Linked DNA regions of Alligator mississippiensis. Each later gene encodes a partner of the first gene's protein in a complex. Links are inferred from orthologs where the notes say so. Each region holds a gene or a part of one and is shown in the gene's direction. Other genes may lie near its edges.

Region 1 (7,345 bases):
TGCCATCAGTATAAGTTAGAGATGCCACAATTTTGACTAGAAGATTAGGAACTTCGGCATTGCCCTAAAACCACTCTTGATTGGAAGGAGGGACTGGACAGGAGGAGACTTAGATGAACAAGTGATCAACTTGAATCACGTCTGTGCATATTCAAACACCAAGTGCAGGCAAAGTACCCAAGAAATTTTGGAGTCCAAAATGGAGTCCAAGTGCCATCTGAATGTGGGCACCTACTGAACTCTGGGGCTGCTGGAACAGAGCCAATAGAAATCAGTATTTGGAACATGGGCACCTAAATTCCAGGTAAGTCCCATTGAGGTGCTTATGTAACCAAGAAGGAGCCGGTTCTTAGCTCTGTTAATGCATTTTTCTAGTGGTAACATTTCCCACATATCTTTATAACAGGCAAGCGAAAATTAAAAATGTGTTTCTATTTGATTTCCACAGAAAACATGGCTATTTAAAAACTTACTTAATTGGCCATTGACTTGGAGTTGTGTGCTTATGTGATTTTTTTAAATACACATATTTTAGTTATACCTTATTGAAATAGTAATGACTGAAGAGTTGAGATTTAAGATTGTTTTCAGAAATAAAATCACTGGATAAGATACTGCATGGACACCATGGATGCAAAGTGAGCATACAATGTGTACTATTGATGGTACTACCAACCACTTCTGTGGAAATAGTGAGGTCTTGGCTAGAAGGCTTAGCTCAGTATGTGTGTGAAGCATGCCTCAGCTATTAGAATTGTGGCATTATTGCTTACTGAAGAAGGCAGGGTAGAGATGCACCTTACAGATTAACTGAATCAGAGATGCATAAGCTTTCATAGTAAGAGCCAACTTTATCAGATGCTAAGAAAGGGCATGCAGAGAGCAGGCTACCAAATAAATCAGAATGCTGAAGCCCTGGCCTGTGGGCTGGATCTGGTCCATAGGACTCTGCCTGGGTTTGAAAATCTGGTGGCAGGGGAGTGGTGGCAGCTAATTGCTCCTCCTCTGTTGTCATATTTCTAGACCCAGGGGGAGCCCTATGGGCTGGACAGCATGACCCTGTGTACTAGACTGAGTGCATGAGGCTGAGTGGGATGTCCCAGGGTAGCATGGCACATGGCTGAGTGGGATGGCATAGGGCTGAGCAGGGCAGCATAAAGTTGATCAGGGTAGCACGGATCTGAGCAAGATGGTGCAAATCTGAGCGAGGTGGCAGAGATCTGGCAGAGGCAGCACAGACCCCAGTTTGGCCCACAGACCAGCCCTGCAACACTTACCTAGCCCATGGGGCCAAAAGATTGAGCAATACCAGCACTGCGTGATTTTGATGCAAAAGACAGGGAAGGAAGGGAGGCTGGAGACTGTAGGGGAAAGGGGCAGTGCTCAGAGGGGCAAACAAATAATGCACTTGTATGGATGAAGGGGTCACTAAAGCTAATCCAGGTAATGGGATAAGGATCCCTGTTTAGACTATGCTTCACACAAGCCAGTCTGAGGAACTTGTTCCACAATTTTTTGTTCAAGTTGGCATTTAAAATTCTACTAAGACAGGGGTGGGCAATTATTTGGGCTGGAGGGCCACTTAAGGAGTTTTGGTGAGATGTGGAGGGCCAGAGGAGAGGAGGGGGGTAGTGCTGACCTGGCCTCTGCCCCCCCGTTACAGCTGTTTACACTGCCTGGCAGGGTGCATGGGGTGGGGTGGGGGGCTGGGAAGATGCTAACTGATCCTGTCTGACCCGAGGCCCATCGGCCCCGCATCCACAACCAGGGGCACTGGACAGAACAGGCTGGCAGGGTCTCCATAAAGACTGACCAAGGACCCCTGGGGGCAGGGTGTGCTTGGCCAGGCAGATGGAATAGGGCCGTGAGTAGGCAGGGAGCAGTGCCTGTTGCAGGGACATGTGAGGAGCAGATCATGGCTCTGCCTTGGGCCCTGGCCCCACTCTATCACTGCCCTGTGAACCCAGCCCTGGCCCCAGCTACCCATTCTACTCCCAGACTCTGCTCCCGACCTGCCCATGACCCCATCCCATTCACTTGGCTGAGCTTGGCTGAGCTTGCCCAGTTTGCGGGGGCCCTGAGCCAAACTCCATGGAGACCTTGCCCACTTGCTTGCCCATTCTGATCAGTAGGTGCAGGGTGGATGGGCCAGGGTGCCTGGGCAGCAGGACTGGGTCCAGTAGTGGTGGTGGAAACACTGGCAGTGGCAGCTGGAAGCGTGAGGGCAGAGCGAACTGCCATCATGGGGACTGCCGGGAAGCAGAGTCAGGCCACCATGCTGCCACAGCTGCTACCCCATTGCCGTGCCACCCAGCCCCCAGACTACAGCTTCTGGTGTGCCCAAGAGCTGCATTTAGGGATAGGGCAGGTTGTACCTTATGCCGGGTGGCACCTCTGCACCCAGGGTGGCAGGACCAGCTGCATGCATTGTCTGCAGTGCCTAGGCTACCTCCTGACCCTGGGCCAGGTGGGGCCAAGGGACCTGCCATGAGGATCACCCTGTCCAGCAGCAGATGTAGTGGGGGTGCAGTGGTGCAGTTGCACCCCTCCTTGATTCCTGCTGTACCCAAACTTAAAAACCAACCTACTGGTTCCATTTCTAATCAGGCAACACTGAGGGAGTCAATTTACTTCACGGCTTACTAAAATCTACCTGATTCCTGCTAATGTCTCTTCATTCCATAGGGGTTAACGACCCTCTCTACATTTTAATGTCTTTGATGTTCCACTATTCAAACCGTCTTTCTGCAAGTTTGCTGTCTGCCAGCCATTCCTGGTAATATCTCTCTTCTATTTCAAAGCCCAGCAGACTGTTTTCTAGCTCCAGCTAAAAACCTTAACTCAGGTGTAGTAATATTAATTCAGTGTAGAAACAACTGACAGTGAAGTATTGGAGGCACTCTCAAAACTCTCAGGAAGAGCAGATTTTGTTTTACCAATTTGAATAAGAGATGTACATTTAACAATGATGACTGGAGGACTAATGGCACAGTATCTTGACTATTTTGACCATTTTTGTCTAGTTTCTTGTGTTTTTTAAACTTAATTTAGAATCTAGCAAATGAGGGAACATGCTAATAAAGTTAGATTTGTTTTTGCTTTGATCTTAAACTGAATAATATAGCACGAGGCCTCTAGCGTATTAGTAAAGCTTCCAGTTCCTCTTTTAACTGGGACAAAAAAGTGTCATCTGTGGTGATGCACCATATCAGTTGCACAGCCCTTTTCAAAACCCATGGCTGCAAGACAACCCCTTGGTGGCCACATGTGGCCTCCAGGCCACCCATTGAACAGCCCTTTATCAGGGGACAGACATAGGTGATGTTAATGACTCTTTTAACTGGAGGAAAAGATGTGTAGTGTCTTATGTGATAAAGTGCCACATCATCCATACCCTGCTTTGCACTGTCCTAGAGCAGCCCTACCGTCCAATGGAAGTGGCAGCATTTTGAGTCAGGCAGCACTGAGGGACTTGCTTGACGTTGTGGCTCATTGTCCCTGATCCTTCCTAAGCCCTTCATGTGACGGGTGAACAACCTTCCCATCTTTTTTCATGCTCTGGAGGCTCCAGCCAGCAACCTAGCCTTTCTTCTGCTTTCTTTTCACCCTGCTGTCCATTAGGGCACTGGTTCTCAACCTTTTGTTTGTACCAGGACCCATTTGTAAACAGCAATGGCCAGTCTAGGTCCAGGGCCCTGCACTCCTGACCTGCTCCCCCAGTGTGTGTGGGTGGGTGAGGCATGGGGGAGGAGGGAGGGGGCAAGCAGCCCCTTGTAGGCTGCACCTCTGCCAGCCTGCAAGGGAAAACACCCGGTTTCCAACATTTTCCTCCTTTAAAGGCCAATCCCTTTTTCAAGTTTGTTCAAGTCCACCCACTTCTGGGTCGCGACCCACACATTGGGGAACGCCGCTTTAGGGGCTTCTGCAGCGGCCGACGGGTTTTTAACACGCTCTAAAAGGGGCCTTATTTGTTTTTTTGCCTCCTGCTGCAGCTGAAGAAGGCAGCGCTGCGGCCCCAGCCTAGTGGGAAAGCCTCTCCTTTCCATTTGAACGGGGGAGTGAGCAGGTGCAGTGCCAGGATCACAGGCTCACAGAAGAGGAGGGCTGCAACAGACCTCAGGAGGGCATCGAGCCCAACCCCTCAAAGCAGCACCAGCCCCAACAACTAGCTCGTCACAGGATGCGCCACCCTTCCCAAAACCCAGGACTGGCCCGAGCCCGGCACAGCCGCCCCCAGTGCGGGCGGGGCGGGGCGGGGCGGGGCGAGGCGGGGAGGTCGCTGCAGGCACCGCCCCACAGCCGGCTGGGGCGGGCAGGACCGCCGCGCTCCGCTCCGCCCCGCTCCGCCCCGCCCCGCCCGCTGACACTGCAGCAGCTGGCAGCGCCTGCTGGGCCGGGCCGGGCCGGGCAGGTCTGGGGTCGTGAGCTGCCGGGGCAGCAGGACCAGCAGCGGAGGTGACGCCGGGGTGAGGGTAAGAGGCGTTGGGAGTGGGGCGTGCAGGGGCCACCGCCCTGGGCCGGGCCGGGCTAGGCGGTGCAGTGCAATGCGGGGCGGGGCAGCCCTCTGGCCCCCCGCGCTGGGGGTCCCGGGCCGGGCGGGCTCCTGGCCCCGCGGCGCGGCGGGAGAGGCAGCGCCGCGCCCCGCTCCGCTCCGCTCCGGCCTCGGCCCGGCCCCGCCGCCAAGGGGGAAGCAGCCCGCCGAGGCCCGGGCGAGGGTGTGTGTGGGTGTCTGTGTGTCTGTACGTGTATACACAGCTATGTGCAATCAGGACTCGTAGTAAGAGATTATATATTTTATTAGACCAACAAGATTTTTTTTGCAAAAAAAATTACACAGCTGTGTAATACGTGTACATTCTCTGTATATGTGGGTGGGTGGATATGTACACACCCCCACACATGCGTATGTATATATGTGTGCGTGTTTACCTATAGCAGCAGTTCCCAACCCCAGGCCACGACCCAAATGAGGGTCATGGGCAATGCTGGTAGCACTGCACAGAAAAGATGAGCCGCCGCACCGTGTGCCAGGGGCTCCCTGGGCCACCACATGCCGCTCCCAGCAGCGGGGCATGGCGGGGAAAAAAAGGTTGGGAACCGCTGACCTATTCAATGTGTCTATACGCTATCTATCTAGCTCTAAACAGTGTGGATGCATACTGTATATGTATGGATATACACATACCTACATAATGTGCCTATGCTGTACCTACCTACCTATCCATCTCTATCACTAATATATATATATATATATATATATATATATATATATATATATATATATATATAGTGTAATGTTGGGGGGGTGTATATGTATATATGTGTGTATACACACTTTAATAATGTGTATACACTATATCTGTCTAGCCATCAATCTAAAGTATGCAGTGTGGGTGCATATATGTATAGATGTGTGTGCATGTGTGTTGTAGATCATATATAATGCATGTAGGTATATATACAGCGTATATGCCTATGCACACATGCTCGTGCATGCACAAATGTATATACTGTACATACATTATATAGGTGTGTATACACATGTGCACACATATATAGTGTACATACATTGTATGGGCCTGTATACACATGCATGTGCACACATAGTGTATGTAGACTTTATATGTAGTGGGTATGTATATGTCTGTGTATGTGTGTGTACACATCTGTATCATATACATTATATGTAATATGTGTACGCACACATGCACAGATGTACATGCACATATGGCCTCTTTTCCTGATGCTGATCTCAGAGGCCAGCTGAAGGCTTCCAGAGTTGGAAGGGATCTCAAGGGTCTTGTGCCCTAAACCCCATACACATATACTACTCATGTGTAAATAATCAGCCATGTTTAAACTCACCTTCCCTGCTCTTATCTAGCTTGATGCCTCATGTAAAAAATAATCCTGTGGTCCTATGTGAGATGCAGAAGTGTATGTAGGTCTTGCTTACGATGAGAAGTTGTAAAGTCTACTTGGATTTACCTTGTTTCTAACAGCGATTCTCAGCCACAGAGCCACGGCATCATGGGGTTCCTTGAGATCCTTTCAGGGGGGCCATGGGGTACCATGCAGTTTCAGTGCTATTAGGTTTACAGATGTGACTCATGAAATAAACCCAGAAGTTTCAAATAGAAATGCATTGTTGCGGTTTTTCTGAGTTCTTGGAAAAAGAATTGCTCTATCATTTTTCTGTAGTCAGAAAAATGAAGCTGGCATTTTCTGAAGGGTTGAGTCTCTCCAGGGTTGCTTTGAGTCTAAAAAGGTTGAGAACCACTCTTCTAATGCCATGACCTCCAAATGATAGTTTAAATGACCTTTTTCTTGCCCCCAAATTCAAGGGACTTTCCTTTTGAAGAATCTGAAGTCAAGTTTTACTTATGTGGTTTAGGACAACTTTAGCATTCAGTAGTAGAGGGGGAGGGAATCGGTCGGCCTTGAAAATGGGCATCATCTCTGTGCCATAATTTGTTCTTTATATGCAACAAGACTGTTGTTTCAGTCTTGGACTACTTCTAAGGAAAATATGGACAGAGATTCAAGTATGGACAACTGCAGTAATCATGTGTGTGTATATGACAATGGAACTTAACTTTCCATGTAAATTATATGGATTTTTCACGTTCCTGGTACAGTGCTACTGGGGCCTTTGCTGTTGAAAAGCTTCTACACTTCTCTTTCTCAGCCTGAGAACAAGACAGTTCACAAGTCTAGAAACAAAAGTGGGAGTGATATGTCTGGCTCTATTGTCTATTCTGTGTGAAATGTAAACACTGGATTCTTAGTTAAGGTTTTATCAGAAGAAATTTAGAGCACTTAGTCCCAGAATGGATACATTTTTGTGTCATGTTAGCTTCAGGGATAATTAATTATATGTATAATGGAAAATAGTTGGAGGAAAAAATAATCTAGAAACAACAGGCAAGAAAGTTGAGGTGCCTATATCAATTGGGTCAGTGACTACTGACTAATGCATTTATTAATTATATGTTCTTGAGGCAGAAAAATATTTACATCAGGGCAGGAGGCTTTTTATATAAATGCTGCAAACAAATAGGGGAGAAGCATTAAAAGTCCCTTAAACTGAAACTAGTATGAGGATTCCTAAATTCTTTAGTAAAGCTTCCCTGTAAGGTTACATGTCTCCAGTACACACAATGAAAACTATATCCTTCTGTAAGGGGATATGTTACTTAAGTTTTACATATTTGACTTTTTTTAGAATGCATGCCAACAAAACAAACTTAACTTGAAGGGAAGCTCTTAAGGAACATAGCTAATTGTATTTTATTGTAGTAGTTCCCAAAAAGCCTGTTTGAGATTAGGAAATAGATTTGTGAGA
Region 2 (7,467 bases), on another chromosome or scaffold:
CTCCCTAGGTACAGCACTTTGCATTTCTCCTTGTTGAACTGCATCCTGTTGTTTTCTGCCCACTTGTCCAACCTGTCCAGGTCTGCTTGCAGCTGTTCCCTGCCCTCCGGTGTGTCTACTTCTCCCCATAGCTTTGTGTCATCTGCAAACTTGGACAGAATACATTTCACTCCCTCATCCAAGTCGCTGATGAAGACATTAAAGAGTATCGGTCCAAGGACCGAGCCCTGCGGGACCCCACTGCCTACCCTGGGGGTCTTCAAGAGGAAGTTAGATAAGCATCTAGCTGGGGTCTTCTAGACCCAGCACTCTTTCCTGCCTATGCAGGGGGTCGGACTCGTCGATTTATTGAGGTCCCTTCCGACCCTAACATCTATGAATTATATGCATTAAGGTTGCAAACAAGGATGCACTTTTTGTAGAAAACAATGATTAAATCGAGGCTTCCTGACCAGTGATTTAAATTGTTATTTAAATGACACTTTAAAATCGATTTGAGTTAAATCAAATCTACCTTATTAACTTGTCAGCAATATTATTTAGCATCATAAAAGATGTTACCAGAACAAACTGGCATCACAGGCTGTGGTGCAGATAAACACTGGACAAAGTTATTCTTGTTTCTAAAGAGGAGAAAAGAAATCCTAACTCTGAATCATACTTTCACACCTCTTGACAAACAGCTTATTACAGGGGATGGGCAAGCAAACACAAAAACAATCCCTGGTAGAATAGGTGTTGGTTTTATACATTTCTGTAAATTACACTAGGTGCAAGATGACTAGATCTGCAGCTCTCTCTTGGTAATGCATACAGTACAGAGCTATTACCACACCTTGCCACTAAGCAGAGGGGAAACAGTTAACAGATTATTTTCTTTTAGCAAACAGCTACTACCCTGAGACAGATGTAGACAGATAACACCCTCAACTTCCACTGGTAGACTATGAACCTGAATGTGGGTCTGGATGGCCCCCCAATGCTTCTGCAAATCCCAGAGAAAAAAAAAATTCTTCCCTTACATGCAGGGATGCACTGACCTCCAAGTAATTCACTGCTGCAAAGGAATGCAATTTCCCCCCATACACATGTGTAATGCATTTTTAGAAGCATACATTAACCATTTAACTGCACCACTGCTGAGCTGGATCAATTAAAGTTAGCTACATAATTTTCATACCACTTTCAGCTCCAGTAGACATTTTTCCAAGAGAGGATGTTTCAACTGGATTTAGGTTACTGGAATCAGAACTCTGGGTAGAGGTTATACCTTATTAGACCAACAAGATATTTGCAAAAAAAATTCTTTATTCACAAGCGTTTGGGTACACACACACTTCTTCAGGCATAGGAAAATGCAAAGATGGTAAAATTTCTCCTAGGCAGAAATGCAAATTCATATTTCACAGGACAGTTGAAGGTATAAGTCACAGGGGCGGGCAAAATATGGCCTGTGGGCCAGCCCACCAGGCCATTCTATCCTGCCCATCGGGCCCCTAAAAAATTTAGAAAATTAATATTTATCTGCCCCTTGCTCCCTGTCATGCGGCCTTTGATGGCTTGCCAAAACTCAGTAAGCAGCCCTCCACCTGAAATAATTGCCCACCCCTGGTATAAGATCTCCTGGTTGGCAAAGTTCATTTTGTGCAAATTTAGCTCAGATAAAAAGTTTGAGCAGTCTATTTACCTTGAAGTTGTCTGATAGTAAGTGGTATGTTAAAGAGGTGCATCCAAGAGAGATTTTTTGGGGCTGATACCAACAAATGATGCTTAAAGATGCATATCATCCGATACGATCCGATTTCTGATACGCAGCCCAGCAGCAAAGAGCAGTGTCTGGCTGGTAAGTCTGTTGTGATGGAAGGGGAGGTGGAAGGGAAGGGGCATGGCAGGGGCAGATCGAGGCCCCTGTAGTGAGGGAGGGAGGGGGAGGGAGGGAGGGAGTGGGGCTGGGGCAGATGTTGCCCAGCCAAGGCAGAGTGGGACACAAGATGGAACCATGGCTTGTTTGGGGGGTGCAGGGAGGGGGGGCTCCCGCTGCTGACAGCACCCCAGGAGGACTCAGGGGGGCATGTCGCCCCACATCTGCATGGGAAGGAGGGGGCTGCCACTGAGAGCTGGAGCAGGGGCTGCGCCAGGCTCTTCCCAGCAGGGGCTGAGCTGTGCTGTGCTTGGGGTGGGCGGCAGCAGCACTGGGAGAGGGGTTATGGGGTGGGGGCTGCAGCCACCCCAAAATTCACCGTAGCCCAAACCCAGCGCCACTGCCCACCCTGTGCGGTTAGCAGTCTGACCCAGCCCCTGCCAGGAAAAGCCCAAGGCAGCCCTGATCCCACGCTGCAGTGACAGCCCACCCCTCCCATGCAGATCTGGGGGGCACACATCCCACCCGTGCCCTCCTGGGATGTGCATAGGGATGGGAGCCTCTGCCCCACCTCAGACAAGCCATAGCTCCACTTACCAGCTGGATGCAGCTCTGCAAGCTGCCAGGCTGCGCTCCTCACCACCCACCTGCTGCGCCGCCACATCAGGCAAAAAAGCCGATTTCCGACAGTCAATTTTTTTTATATCAGTACAGATCTGATATTGGAACAATGTATCAATGCACCTCTATGAATTATTTCCTTCTGGTTATGATGTTTCATATTTTGCAAGAGGATGGGTAAACAATCAAGTACTAAATAAATGCGCAGTAACAGTAGCTCCAGCGAACACCTTTTTAGTGACATTACTGTGCAGTAGCCTAATAATACTGGGCAGTAGTGTACTGGCACTGTTTGTGCTGCAATGGGCTACCGCACAGTATTATTAGGCTGTTGGGCTGTTAGTGTCTCATGTAGATGCACCCGCTGTCTCCAAAATGACAACAGGCGAGAGATTAGGAGCAGATGTGCAACTCCCCTGCGGCTCTATAGCTAGTCTCTGCCCCTCCGCCCTCTTGCTCACTCCAGTTCCAAAGCACAGGTTAGATTGAGGGCTAGATTTTCCACACCTTAATTAGCAATGTTGGGAATGCTTAACTTGCATTAAAAAGATCCCCTTATTCATAAAAAAAGTTCATGGAGATGACAGATACTAGAAGAACAGTAAGTCATCTCATAGTTGCAAAAAGACCTTATGAGCCTCAAACCTGATGCAACTGTGCTCAGACCCTTTAGGAAAATTAACCCAGCCGGGCTCCTCCCTGGGCCAGGCCGCTTGCTGGCTACAGCTGCAGGTGCAAACAGGCGAGCAGCGCTGTCGGGGGCGCGCGTTTCCAATTCCCCGTTGCTTGTCTAGCTCCAGCTCCTGGCCCCGCCCCCCTCTCATTCAAAGAGAGAACCAGAACCAGCGCGAAACCAACCCCTTGGAGATGCGACAAAACACCGCCCCCCCCCGCCGCGGTGGTTACAACCCCGGGGAGGCGAGCACGTGGCGCGGCGGCGGCGCGCAGACACCCGCGCTCCGGTCCCGGCCCCGGAGCACAGCGGGTCCCGCTCCGCGCGGCGGCTCCGCCCCGCGCCGGGGGCAGCGGCTGCCCGCACTCACCGTCTCCAGCACCGGCTTCCTCTCCACCTCCTCGGCCATGGCTGCGGCGTGCGGGGCGGGCGCCTGCCCGGGCCGACCCCTCCGGCGCCGGGGCCGCTGGGAGCTGTAGTCCGGACCGGGGCCTGCGGTCTCGGGGAAGCCCCAGCTCCCGGAGTCGCGGGATCCGCCGCGGTCGCTGTGGGGGAGCGCGAAGGGCCTTCCGTCTTCTGGCCCGGGACGGCGCCGGCGCCTCGCCCAGTCCCGCGCCCGCTGCTCAGTTTCCGATTGGGCTGGGCCGTGAGGCGCAAGTGCGGGAGCCGGGGGAAGCGGCACTGGAAGTGGCTCGCCTGCTGCCAACCTCCTGGCTCTTTGGCGAGCCGCCTGGGCTGCAGCCGGGGCGCAGGGGAGCCCGGCACCGATCCAGGCACGGGGGGGGCTGGAGGCAATTGGGGCCCTGTTCCCACAACCCGGGGCCTAGATCTGACAGCACAGGGGCAGCAAGGGGCCCGTACTGCCAGCCGCCGTCGGCGCTGGAGCCGCTTGCGCCGCGCCCACAGGCCGAGCACCCGGGTCAGCCCAGCCCAGATCCTGCCCGGAGACCACGGGCTCTGCCACAGGGCGCGCAGCAGAGGCGCTCCCGGAACGCCCGGGCCCGACCGCCTCGGCTCCCGCCACCACCGCGCCTTCGCGGCTGCATTTCACGTGGCTCGTGTGTGAGGTCGTGCGTGCGGCCTGCCCCGGCCGGCAGGGGGCGCTCGGCCCCTCCCGCCACCTGAACTACCCTTCCCAGCAGGCAGCGCGGCGGCCCACACGGGGGCCGCTTCCCAGCAGGCAGCGCGGCGAGCGCGGAAGCCGTCCCGCTCTCCCGCCCCCTCCCGAACTACATTTCCCGGGAGCCCCCGCGGCGTCGGGAGCGCCCCTGGCGGAAGTGCACGTGCCGGCCGGGAGGAGCGAGCGCCGCGGCGAAGGGGCGGGAGCAGATAAACAGCGCGCCGGGCGGGGGCTCCTGCTGCAGCCCTTACGTCGCCGCTGGCCGGCCCGGGTGAGCCTGGCCCTGCGTGGGTGGGGGAAGTGTTAGCCCCGGGCGGGGGCGGCATCGTCCTGTGCTAGCGGCGCGGCGCTCCTCGGCCCCTCGGGTGCTGCCCTCCCCTCCCCCCCCGCGGTCAGTTGCTTGCGCAGTGTCGCTGTTGGGCGGCGGGAGGGGCTGCCTGGCGGGCCCCGGGAAGCAGCTGCTGGGACAAGTGGAGTGGGCTTGGGAAGGGGAAGGTGAGACGGAAGTGCGGGGGGCCGTGGTGTCGGCTGATGCTGGAGCCCGAGGTAATTGGGTAACGCCGTCCTCTACCCTCCCCCCAATTTCACAACTGCTAGAAGAGACTCCGTGTTGTAGCCAGGCACCTGCATTGAGCAACATGTTCCCGCATTAGCATTTGGGTTGCTGGAAGCAAAAACCAGAGGGCTGTGGAAATCGGTGAGCTTGTGATTGGGCACGTGGGCTTTTATGTTGGAGGAGTTGGAGAAGCCAAGCGAAGGCCTGCTGTGGTGGGGAGCGAGCTAGCTAGCGAGCAGCAGGGTTTTGGGGGGGGGGGGGTGTTGTCAGCAGAGGGTTCTCTCCCTTCCGCAAATGTCTTGTAAATTCTTACCTGTGCTTTATAATCCTTAATCTTATATTGGGGATTGTTAAGAACAGGATTGTAAACAAAACCAGAAATATCTTCCTGCCACTTCATAAATCCCCAGTGTGTCCACACCTTGACTACTGTGCCCAATTCTGGTCCCCTCGCCTCAAACTCTATATAAAGAACTAGAGAAGGCCTGGAGAAGGGCAACAAGGGTGATGAGCAGCACGGAGCGGCTTCTGTATGAGGAGAGACTATTCAGTTGATAAGAGATGCTTGTAGAAGGACATAAGGGTTTACAAAACACTAAATGGTGAGGAGAAAGTAAATGGGTATTTATTATGTACTCTCAATACAAGAACAAGGGGTCACAAAATAAATTTAGTAGGTAGTAAATTTAAGACTAACAAAGGGAGGTTCTTTTTCACACAGTGTGGCATTAAAGTGTGGAGCTCATTGCCACCAGATGTTGTGGAAACTGCAAGTTTAGCTAGGTTCAAAAAGGCATTGGACAAATTGTTGGAGGAAAAGGCCACCAGTAGCTATGGAGCTTAAGAGGGAGGGCTACAGCCCCTGAATTGGAACTTCCTGGACCTTAAGTGCTGGAGGCTGCAAGTGAGAGCGGCAGTGAAGAAACAAACCCTGGTCAGACACAGTTTGCTCTCCCTTTCAGCTTCAACACCCTGCCACTGTGTGAGATGGGGACTTGGTAAGATGGACCCATGGTCTGATCTAATAAATAGCAACTCCTATGTTCTTGTCTCATGAAATCAAGACTTGGGTTTTTTAACAGAGCAGTAACAATATTTTGGTGACATTTAATACACAGTTCCTTGGAAAACTCTTTGGTTTGCAGTTAAGCAGCTGGATCTCACCAAGACTGTTGGTGCCTGAGAATGAAACTGACCTGTTTAGTTAACCTTTTGAACTGGATGTCAGTTGATATCATTTAAGCTATAGGTTTAAATAGGCTACAAAATCAGGGGCAGACATTCACCTGGTTAATGAGACCTTCAATAGTCACATTTTTTTAAAGAGGAAAAACTGAGAAAGAAGTCTTCATGTGTTAGAAGTACAGCAGTTGCTCTTTAATAGTGTAATTCTAGCCTATCTAGCAAGTAGAAGCTCTTTGATTTACAAGTGGAATAATTTTAAAATGAGTAAAGGAATTAAGAAATTGAAGAGTTAAAAGGAACCATTGGATCACTTTTGGGTTTAAGTTGCCACTTTTAAATTTTGTTGCAAATGTTGCTCAAAGAGCCTCTTGAACAAGGCCTGGATCTGATTGGCTAACTGCTCGTATGGCAACATACCATATGTTGATTAGTGCTGGAGAAAACTTTTTTTCTTGACCTCAGGAGAGTTCATAGAGTACTTTCCCCAGTACTCTCTACTGTTACATCTGTTATTTCTTCTTCCTCTGTCAAAATTCTGGCCAGGATCTTCTTACTTATAGAAGACAAATGTGCTCCTCTTGGTATGCGAGTAATTAATAATGGTCATGTTCTCTTTGTAGTGGTCCTTTACCTTTGCTAGGACAAGAACTAAACTTTTCAACACTTGGGTTGTAGCTCCTTGTAACCCAAGCCTTTTAGAGTGCTCCTGCTTATTTTTATTGTGTCCAAAGGATACATTCCAGGCTATGTACTCTGTGTAAGGGTGACAGCCTGTGTTGTAGAAGGCATTGTCTCCCACAATTTCTTGTTGCTTTCCTTGCCTCCTGAATTACTTCTGTTCACCTTGGTCTTTTTTCAAAGACTGCTGGGAAACTTTCAGCTATTGCAGAAAGCAGTAATTCTGCTTACTTGCTGATTCTTGCATTTCTGCTTTGACTGTACAGGCTACCAACTTGTTTAATACACTGATTTCCCCCCCCCCATTCTGCAGGGCCCTCCTGGAGGAGAGGAAGATGGTAAAGGCTGGTCTTACTCCTTTCTGCCTTATCTTGGGCTGGGAGTTTGTTGCCTTTGTGTGTCTTAACACCTATCTAGTTGGAGAGCTTACTTGGAGCCTGAATTAGTAGGTTCAGATCTTCATTCAGGAAGCTTTGATTTGGGTCTTGTAGAGCATGGCTATATCTACATTTCTGGTGCCTAATGGCTATAAGTTTGCCTATAGGCTAGGTATACAATTCATAGATATAACTATGCAGATAAGATTTATCTTTGATTTTCCTGACTGTGAAAGACCCGTTAGAAGTTTAACCAGCACTTAGAAATATTAAGTTATTTGCCTTTACTGAAAGTAGAGGAGGTGAGAGGAAAGACTTTCTCCTGACAAGTGAGAGAATGGAAGTAGTCATTCCAGCTGACTTGTAATCAAAAGCCTAAGGTTAGGGGGGAAGTGC
Region 3 (7,381 bases), on another chromosome or scaffold:
CGCACTTCAGGAGAGATGTGGCCAGCATCGAGAGGGTCCAGCGGAGGGCCACTCACATGATCAGGGGACAGCAGGGCAGACCCTACGAGGAGAGGCTACAGGACCTGAACCTGTTCAGCCTTCACAAGAGAAGGCTGAGAGGGGATCTAGTGGCCATCTAGAAACTTACCAGGGAGGACCAGAGGTGAATCTGAGAGACCCTGTTCCCCTGAGCGCTGCCCTGAATAACAAGGAATAACAGCCATAAGTTGACAGAGAGTAGGTTCAGGCTAGACATGAGGAGGCGCTACTTCACAGTCAGGGCGGCCAAGATCTGGAACCAGCTTCCAAGGGAAGTGGTGCTGGCTCCTATGTTAGGGGTTTTTAGAAGGAGGCTTGATAACTACCTAGCTGGGGTCATATGAGCTTAAACTTAGTAGGGGTCATATGAGCCCAGTATTCATTCCTGCCCAGGGCAGGGTGTCGGATTTGATGATCTGCTCAGGTCCCCTCTGACCCTTCATCTGTGAATCTATGAATCCCATTAGGACCTTAGGTAAGCCCAGTATAGATACCAACCCACCAACTGTTTTTGCTGACCTAGTAATGGGGCACCTGGAGGGGTTGAATGTATTTAAGTCAACAGGTCCTGATGATCTTCGTCCTAGAGTACTTAGGGAATTAACTGGAGTCATAGTGGAGCCGCTGGCACAACTGTTTGAGCATCCTCGTCCTAGAGGATTGGAAAAGGACCAATGTGGTCCCTATTTTCAAGAAGGGGAGGAAGGATGAACCGGGTAACTATAAGCCAGTTAGTCTTACCTCTATCTTTGGCAAGACCTTTGAGAAAATTGTTAAGGATAACATTTGTGGGGGACCAGTGGGTAAAATGATGCTAAGGGGCAATCAGTATGTGTTCATAGCAGGCAGATCCTGCCTGACTTAACCTGGTTTCATTTTATGACCAGGTCACAAAATGCTTGAATGGAGGAGTAGAAGTAGATGTTATTTACTTAGATTTTAAAAAGGCCTTTGACATAGTGTCCCACCCAATTCCTATTAATAAACTAAACAGTTGCAATATAGATTATTACAGGGTCCGGCAGGTAGAAACACCCAGAGAGTGGTGGTAGGTGGGTCAGTTTCTACCTGGAGAAATGTAGGTAGTGGAGTCCCCTAAGGCTCTGTCCTGGGACCACTCCTATTCAATTATCTTCATTGGTGACTTGGACGAGGGAGTAGAAAGCACCCTGTCCAAGCTTGCTGATGACACCGAACTATGGGGGGATTCATAGATTCGTAGATGTTAGGGTCAGAAGGGACCTCAATAGATCATCGAGTCTGATCCCCTGCGTAGGCAGGAGAGTGCTAGGTCTAGATGACCCCAGCTAGATGCATATCCAACCTCCTCTTGAAGACCCCCAGGGTAGGGGAGAGCACCACCTCCCTTGGGAGCCCGTTTCAGACCTTGGCCACTCGAACTGTGAAGAAGTTCTTCCTAATGTCCAGTCTAAATCTGCTCTCTGCTAGCTTGTGGCCATTATTTCTTGTAACCCCCGGGGGTGCCTTGGTGAATAAAACCTCACCAATTCCCTTCTGTGCCCCCGTGATGAACTTATAGGCAGCCACAAGGTCGCCTCTCAACCTTCTCTTGCGGAGGCTGAAAAGGTCCAGGTTCTCTAGTCTCTCATCGTAGGGCTTGGTCTGCAAGCCCTTAACCATATGAGTGGCCCTTCTCTGGACCCTCTCCAGGTTATCTGCATCTCTCTTGAAGTGCGGTGCCCAGAATTGCATGCAGTACTCCAACTGCGATCTGACCAGCGCCCAATAGAGGGGAAGTATCACCTCTTGGATCTATTCGTCATGCATCTGCTGATGCACGATAAAGTGCCATTGGCTTTTCTGATGGCTTCGTCACACTGCCGACTCATGTTCATCTTGGAGTCCACTAGGACTCCAAGATCCCTTTCCTCTTCCGTGCCACCCAGCAGGTCATTCCCTAGGCAGTAGGTATGCTGGACATTTTTCCTCCCTAGGTGCAGCACTTTGCATTTCTCCTTGTTGAACTGCATTCTGTTGTTTTCTGCCCACTTGTCCAACCCGTCCAGGTCTGCTTGCAGCTGTTCCCTGCCCTCTGGCATGTCCACTTCTCCCCATAGCTTTGTGTCATCTGCAAACTTGGACAGAGTACACTTCACTCCCTCGTCCAAGTTGCTGATGAAGACATTAAAGAGTATTGGTCCAAGGACCGAGCCCTGCAGGACCCCACTGCCCACACCCTTCCAGGTCGACGCCGACCCATCCACCACGACTCTCTGGGTGTGACCCTCTAGCCAATTCACCACCCACCGGACTGTGTAGTCATCCAAGTCACAGCCTCTTAACTTGTTCACCAGTATGGGGTGAGATACCATATTGAAGGCCTTCCTGAAGTCTAAGTATACGACATCCACCCCTCCTCCTGTGTCCAGGCGTTTCGTAACCTGGTCATAAAAAGAGACTAGATTAGTCAGGCAGGATCTACCTGCTACGAACCTGTGCTGGTTTCCCCTCAGCATAATTTGTCCTGCCAGGCTCTCGCAAATGTGAGCCTTGATAATTTTTTCAAAGATTTTGCCAAGGATGGAGGTGAGACTGACTGGCCGATAGTTGCCCGGGTCCTCCTTCCTCCCCTTCTTGAAAATGGGGATCACATTGGCCCTTTTCCAGTCCTTCGGGACTTGGCCCGTGCGCCACGAGCTTTCAAATATTCCCGCCATTGGCTGTGCAATGATGTCGGCCAGTGCCTTCAGCACCCTCGGATGGAGCTCATCCGGGCCTACTGACTTAAAGGCATCCAGTTCTTCCAAGTGACTCTGCACCATCTCAGGGTCTACGCACGGTAGTCTGGCGCCTTGCTGCTGCCTCTCTACAACCCCAGTGAGAGACTTGTCGTGCCCCTCACTTAGGAACACTGAGGCAAAGAACTCGTTGAGGAGTTCAGCCTTGTCCCCTCTGTCCGTCACCAATTGTTTCTGCCCATTTAGCAGGGGTCCTATTCCACCCTGGGCCTTCCTTTTACTCCCTATATATCTAAAAAACAATTTCTTGTTGTCCTTTACTTGGGATGCCATCCTCAGCTCCATGGTAGCTTTGGCCCGTCTAACTGCCTCCCTACAAGCACGAGCAGAGGAGGTATACTCATCTTTGGTGATCTCTCCCTGTTTCCACTTTTTATGTGCTCCCCTTTTGGCCCTTAGGCTGCCCTGGATTTCTGTGGTCAGCCAAGGAAGCCTCCTGGCCCCTTTCCCTCTTTTTCCTCCCATCGGGATCATCTCCCTCTGTGCCTGATGTACACAAACTACACGGCACAAAGTGAATCCAGGCTGATTTGGACAGGCTGGGGAAATGGACCGAACAGAATAGGATGCAGTTTAACAAGGATAAGTGTCAGTAACACAACTGCAGAAAGGGATCGCGGAGTCTTAGTCGACTCCAAAATGAACATGAGTCACCAGTGTGATGAGATAGTTAAGTAAAGCTAACCGCACCCTGTCTTGCATAAGTAGGTGCATCACAAACAGGTTTAGGGAGGTGATACTTCCCCTCTATGCAGCACTGGTCAGGCCACAGCTGGAGTACTGCATCCAGTTTTGGGCACCACACTTCAGGAAGGATGCGGATGGCCTGGAGAGGGCTCAGAGGAGGGCCACTCATCTGGTTAAAGGCCTACAGAAAACCCCCTAAGTGGACTGACTGGGAGAACTGAACCTCTTCAGCCTCCGTAAGAGGAGGCTGAGAGGTAATTGCATGGGCGCCTACAAACTCATTGGGGGGGGGGGTTAGCAAGAAATAGGGGATACAATGTTTACCAGTGCGGCTGTCAGGGTAAGTAGAAATAATGGCCACAAACTGGAAGACAGCAAATTCAGATTGGACATCAGGAAATAAAACCTTTATAGTGAGGGTTGCCAAAATACAGAATAAGCTCCAAGAGAGGTGGTGCTGTTCCTTTCCCTGGAGGTGCTTAAAAGGAGATTGGACACCTGGCTGGAGTCATCTGAGCGCATCCGCATAGAACCACGCCGCCGTCCGCACTAGCCCGGCACTCCCGTGACCGCCTTATGACTGTCCCTACGCCGGCCTACAATTCCCAGCATGCCCTGCGCGCCCCGGGGTCCTGATGATGCCCTCTAAGGTGACGTAAGTGCGCGCTTGATTCGTTAGTCACCGTTGGGAGCAAAGTTGGACCTCCCGAATATCTCCCCCCGACTCTTCCTCGACAGGCAGCTGGAGCCTGCCTTCAGCTTGCTCCGGACGGAGCTTTTTTTTTTTTTCCTTCTTTTTTTTTTTCTGATCAGGCGCCAATTAGGGCACCCCCTTCGCGAGACAGAGGGAGGCCCCCTCTCACACATCCCGGAAGTAGCGGCGCGGAGCGGGCGGCAGGGTCTGGGCAGGGGCTGCCTCTGTCATCGCCGTCATGGCAGTGCGGGGCCCGGGCTCCTCCGAGCACCTGGAGCGGCTGCACGAGATCTTCCGGGAGCTGCACGGGCAGCTGCGCGTCCTCCCCGAGCGCCTACGGGGCGGCCTGGCCGGTGAGTGAGTGCGGCCCGGGTCGGGGGAGCTGCCGGCCCGGCCCCGGCCCCTTCCACTTCCACTGTGCCGCTGGATCCGGGCCGGGTACTGCCCCGGCACTGCCCATCGGGGTGCCCGCCACAGCGTCCGAGCACCTCTCAGTGTAGCCGCGTGTGTAGGGTGCCAGTGCCACCCCTCCAGGATTGCCTTGGATCCCAGGGATTATCTGTGAATCTCCAGGAGACTGCTGGGAGTCACCCAGGGGGTAAATGATGGGGCACTCTTTAAAATAAATGTTAAATACAGTAGTCCAGTGCGCTTTTAAAATGTAACAGTAATGTGCATTTGCCTTGCTGATGTAAATCTGCACGCTGTAATTAAAGTCCTTATGTGAAACCTCACGGAATATATTCAAACAGATTGGTGACCCTGTGGGTGTGCAGGCATTACTGTATTTGTGCCATCATTTCAACCCTCGTATGATATACACTCAACAGTAGTAAAAGTGTTCAAAATGTCCAATAACTTTTGAGGCAGCTCATTGAGGCAGCATATGCAAAACCCAAGGCGCTCTTGGGAAGTTTTTTGTTAATATTGTTCGTGTTCCAGGTCAAACTAGCCAAATCCTATCAATTGAGCCAGAACTCAATCGTTTCAAAGCCCGCGTCGACTGAGCTGGCAGAACTCGATCATTCTGAACACCGTGTGTGGCGCTAGAACCCGTGAGCGTCCTCTGTCCCAGGCTGTCTCCTGAGGACTTCAGATACTCCCAAGTCCATTGGCAGTAGGGGTGCAACGATAAAGATTTTTTTGGCTGATACTGATGATCAATTGTTAACCAGCTATATTGGCTGATGCAGATCTGATTGCTGACATGCAGCCTAGCAGTTTGGGGAGCATGGTCCAGCTGGTAAGTCTGTGGGGTGGAAGGGGAGGGGGAGGGAAGGGGCATGGCGGGGGTAGATCAAGGCCCCCTTGGTGAGGGAGGGAGTGGGGCAGGAGCAGGCACTGCCCAGCTGGGGTGGGATGTGGGACGGAGGCGCAGCGAGGGGGGGCAGCTCCCGCCACTGTGCGCAAATCTGTGGGAGGCATGGAGGCCATGTGTACCTTGGATTTCTGCACGGGACAGGGAGGGCTGCCCACTGTGGGCTGGGGCCAGGGCCTGCGCCAGCCTCTTCCTGGCGGGAGAGCTGGGCCGGGGCTGTGCTCAGGGCAGGCAGGGCTGGGGTGGGTGGCAGTGGCCCTGGGAGTGGGAGGCTATGGAGTGGCTACAGCTAATTTTGGGGTGGCTGTAGCTTTCCCTGTAGCCCCTGCCCCCAGTGCTGCTGTTGCCTGTCCTGCCCCCACCCACCCCACGTACAGCCCCAGTCCCACCTAGCCCCCCACCAGGAAGAGGCTGGTGCAGCCCCTGGCCCTGAGCCCGCAGTGAACAGCCCGCTGCATGCAGAAATCTGGGGGACGCATGCCCCCATGTCTCCCCCAGAGGTGTGCACAGCATCAGGGAGCTGTGTCGTGTCCGTCCCCCCCCCCCCCCCCGGACTAGCCACCTGCAGCTCCATCCCACTTCTTGCCCTGTCCTGACTGGGCAGCCCCTGACCCAGCCCTACTCCCTCCCTCACTGTGGGGGCCTCGATCTGCAGCCCTATGCCCCTGCCTTTCCCTACCACAGACTTATTGCCTGGATGCTGCTCTCCAAGCTGCCAGGCTGCATTCCTGGCCACATGCATGCTGTGCCTGCGCAGATCCATGCAGCATTTATTGGTGACATTATTGGCTACACTAGCCAAAAAAAGCTGATTGCTGATAATGTCAGTTTTCTTCTTATCGGTGCCAGTCCGATATGAACCAGTCGGTGCACCTCTAATTGGCAAGCATCCTACGTGCAGGCTTAAGCCCGGAAGTCTTGGAATTTGGATTCCCTCTACATTTTGGGCTTGTTACAGGACTTTCTTATGGCTGCTTGCCTTAAAATAAAGAAATGTTTTGAGTTTGACCCAGTTCTTACTTGCTCACTGGCAACTTACAGTAAGTAAGAAGATGACTTATTTGCATACTTAGTTGCATATTTTTTCAGTGTACGATAGTTTTTCAGCAAATATAATAATTTTGAGCTTCCAATATAATAATTTGTATTTAAGACCTGGCAATCCTTGCACCACTGCTCTAAACTACTTTTCTTTCCTGTATGAGACCTGCGCTGCTCAGGGAAACTGGCTCATGAGAAATGGGCTCAATAGCAGTATCCAGTGCAGGAAGCGATGCTGGCAAGAGGATGCTTTTCCTTGTATGTCTTTGTTTTAATGGGAGGCTGGTGCTAGTGGTAGGTAAAGCACCCCTCCCTCCCGGCAGCTGGTCTCCCTGTAAGTCCCACGATGAGCTTATCGTGTATTTCAAGAACTGAAAAAAGGAAGGAGCCAGAGGAAGGGATTTCTACCAGTGTGGACGAATCTCCTCGCAGTCAGCATGTTCTCTTGTTGCATGGCCTGACACGTAGTTGCCTCCTGCCTGTCTGGCCAGCTTTGTTTCTCCACTAGAGGAGTGGCTAGGGCAAACCAGCAATGTACAGTATTGTTCTATGGGAGTATAGCCTTGTGACCACCAGGGCTGACTTTCTGTAACTCTGTGAACTGAGAAGTGAAACCTAAGAAAAGGCTATGGCTTGTTTAGAATCCAGCAGATTGTAGGCTTGGTAACACAGAATTGTTCCTTTCACATAACTAGCTCTCAGCCAATTGGTCAAGTTCAGGGTTTTAGTCATTGTCTTTGAAGCTGTCCATAAAACTGGCCCAGGAAGGACTGTATCATCTAGCATAATCCTGATCTTTCTAGGTGGTTTAATTCTAGTGTA

Evidence for each region.
Region 2: STX7 (region 1) and VAMP7 share a complex: the UniProt entries of both Homo sapiens proteins name them as parts of the SNARE complex. The link is inferred for Alligator mississippiensis from reciprocal best matches to the Homo sapiens genes STX7 and VAMP7.
Region 3: STX7 (region 1) and VTI1B share a complex: the UniProt entries of both Homo sapiens proteins name them as parts of the SNARE complex. The link is inferred for Alligator mississippiensis from reciprocal best matches to the Homo sapiens genes STX7 and VTI1B.

The regions. Positions count from the first base shown.
Region 1 is NC_081824.1:115,199,705-115,207,049, reverse strand, and holds the start of STX7 (syntaxin-7), read left to right. Parts: upstream 1-4,337; 5' UTR 4,338-4,466; exon of another isoform or gene 4,467-4,472; intron 4,473-7,345. UniProt on the Homo sapiens protein: May be involved in protein trafficking from the plasma membrane to the early endosome (EE) as well as in homotypic fusion of endocytic organelles. Mediates the endocytic trafficking from early endosomes to late endosomes and lysosomes.
Region 2 is NC_081831.1:35,659,412-35,666,878, reverse strand, and holds the start of VAMP7 (vesicle-associated membrane protein 7), read left to right. Parts: upstream 1-4,429; 5' UTR 4,430-4,546; intron 4,547-4,801; exon of another isoform or gene 4,802-4,821; intron 4,822-4,872; exon of another isoform or gene 4,873-4,972; intron 4,973-7,467. Other genes in the region: DNA-directed RNA polymerases I and III subunit RPAC2, read right to left, coding at 3,526-3,564. UniProt on the Homo sapiens protein: Involved in the targeting and/or fusion of transport vesicles to their target membrane during transport of proteins from the early endosome to the lysosome. Required for heterotypic fusion of late endosomes with lysosomes and homotypic lysosomal fusion.
Region 3 is NC_081825.1:230,760,559-230,767,939, forward strand, and holds the start of VTI1B (vesicle transport through interaction with t-SNAREs homolog 1B), read left to right. Parts: upstream 1-4,343; 5' UTR 4,344-4,438; coding exon 4,439-4,553; intron 4,554-7,381. UniProt on the Homo sapiens protein: V-SNARE that mediates vesicle transport pathways through interactions with t-SNAREs on the target membrane. These interactions are proposed to mediate aspects of the specificity of vesicle trafficking and to promote fusion of the lipid bilayers.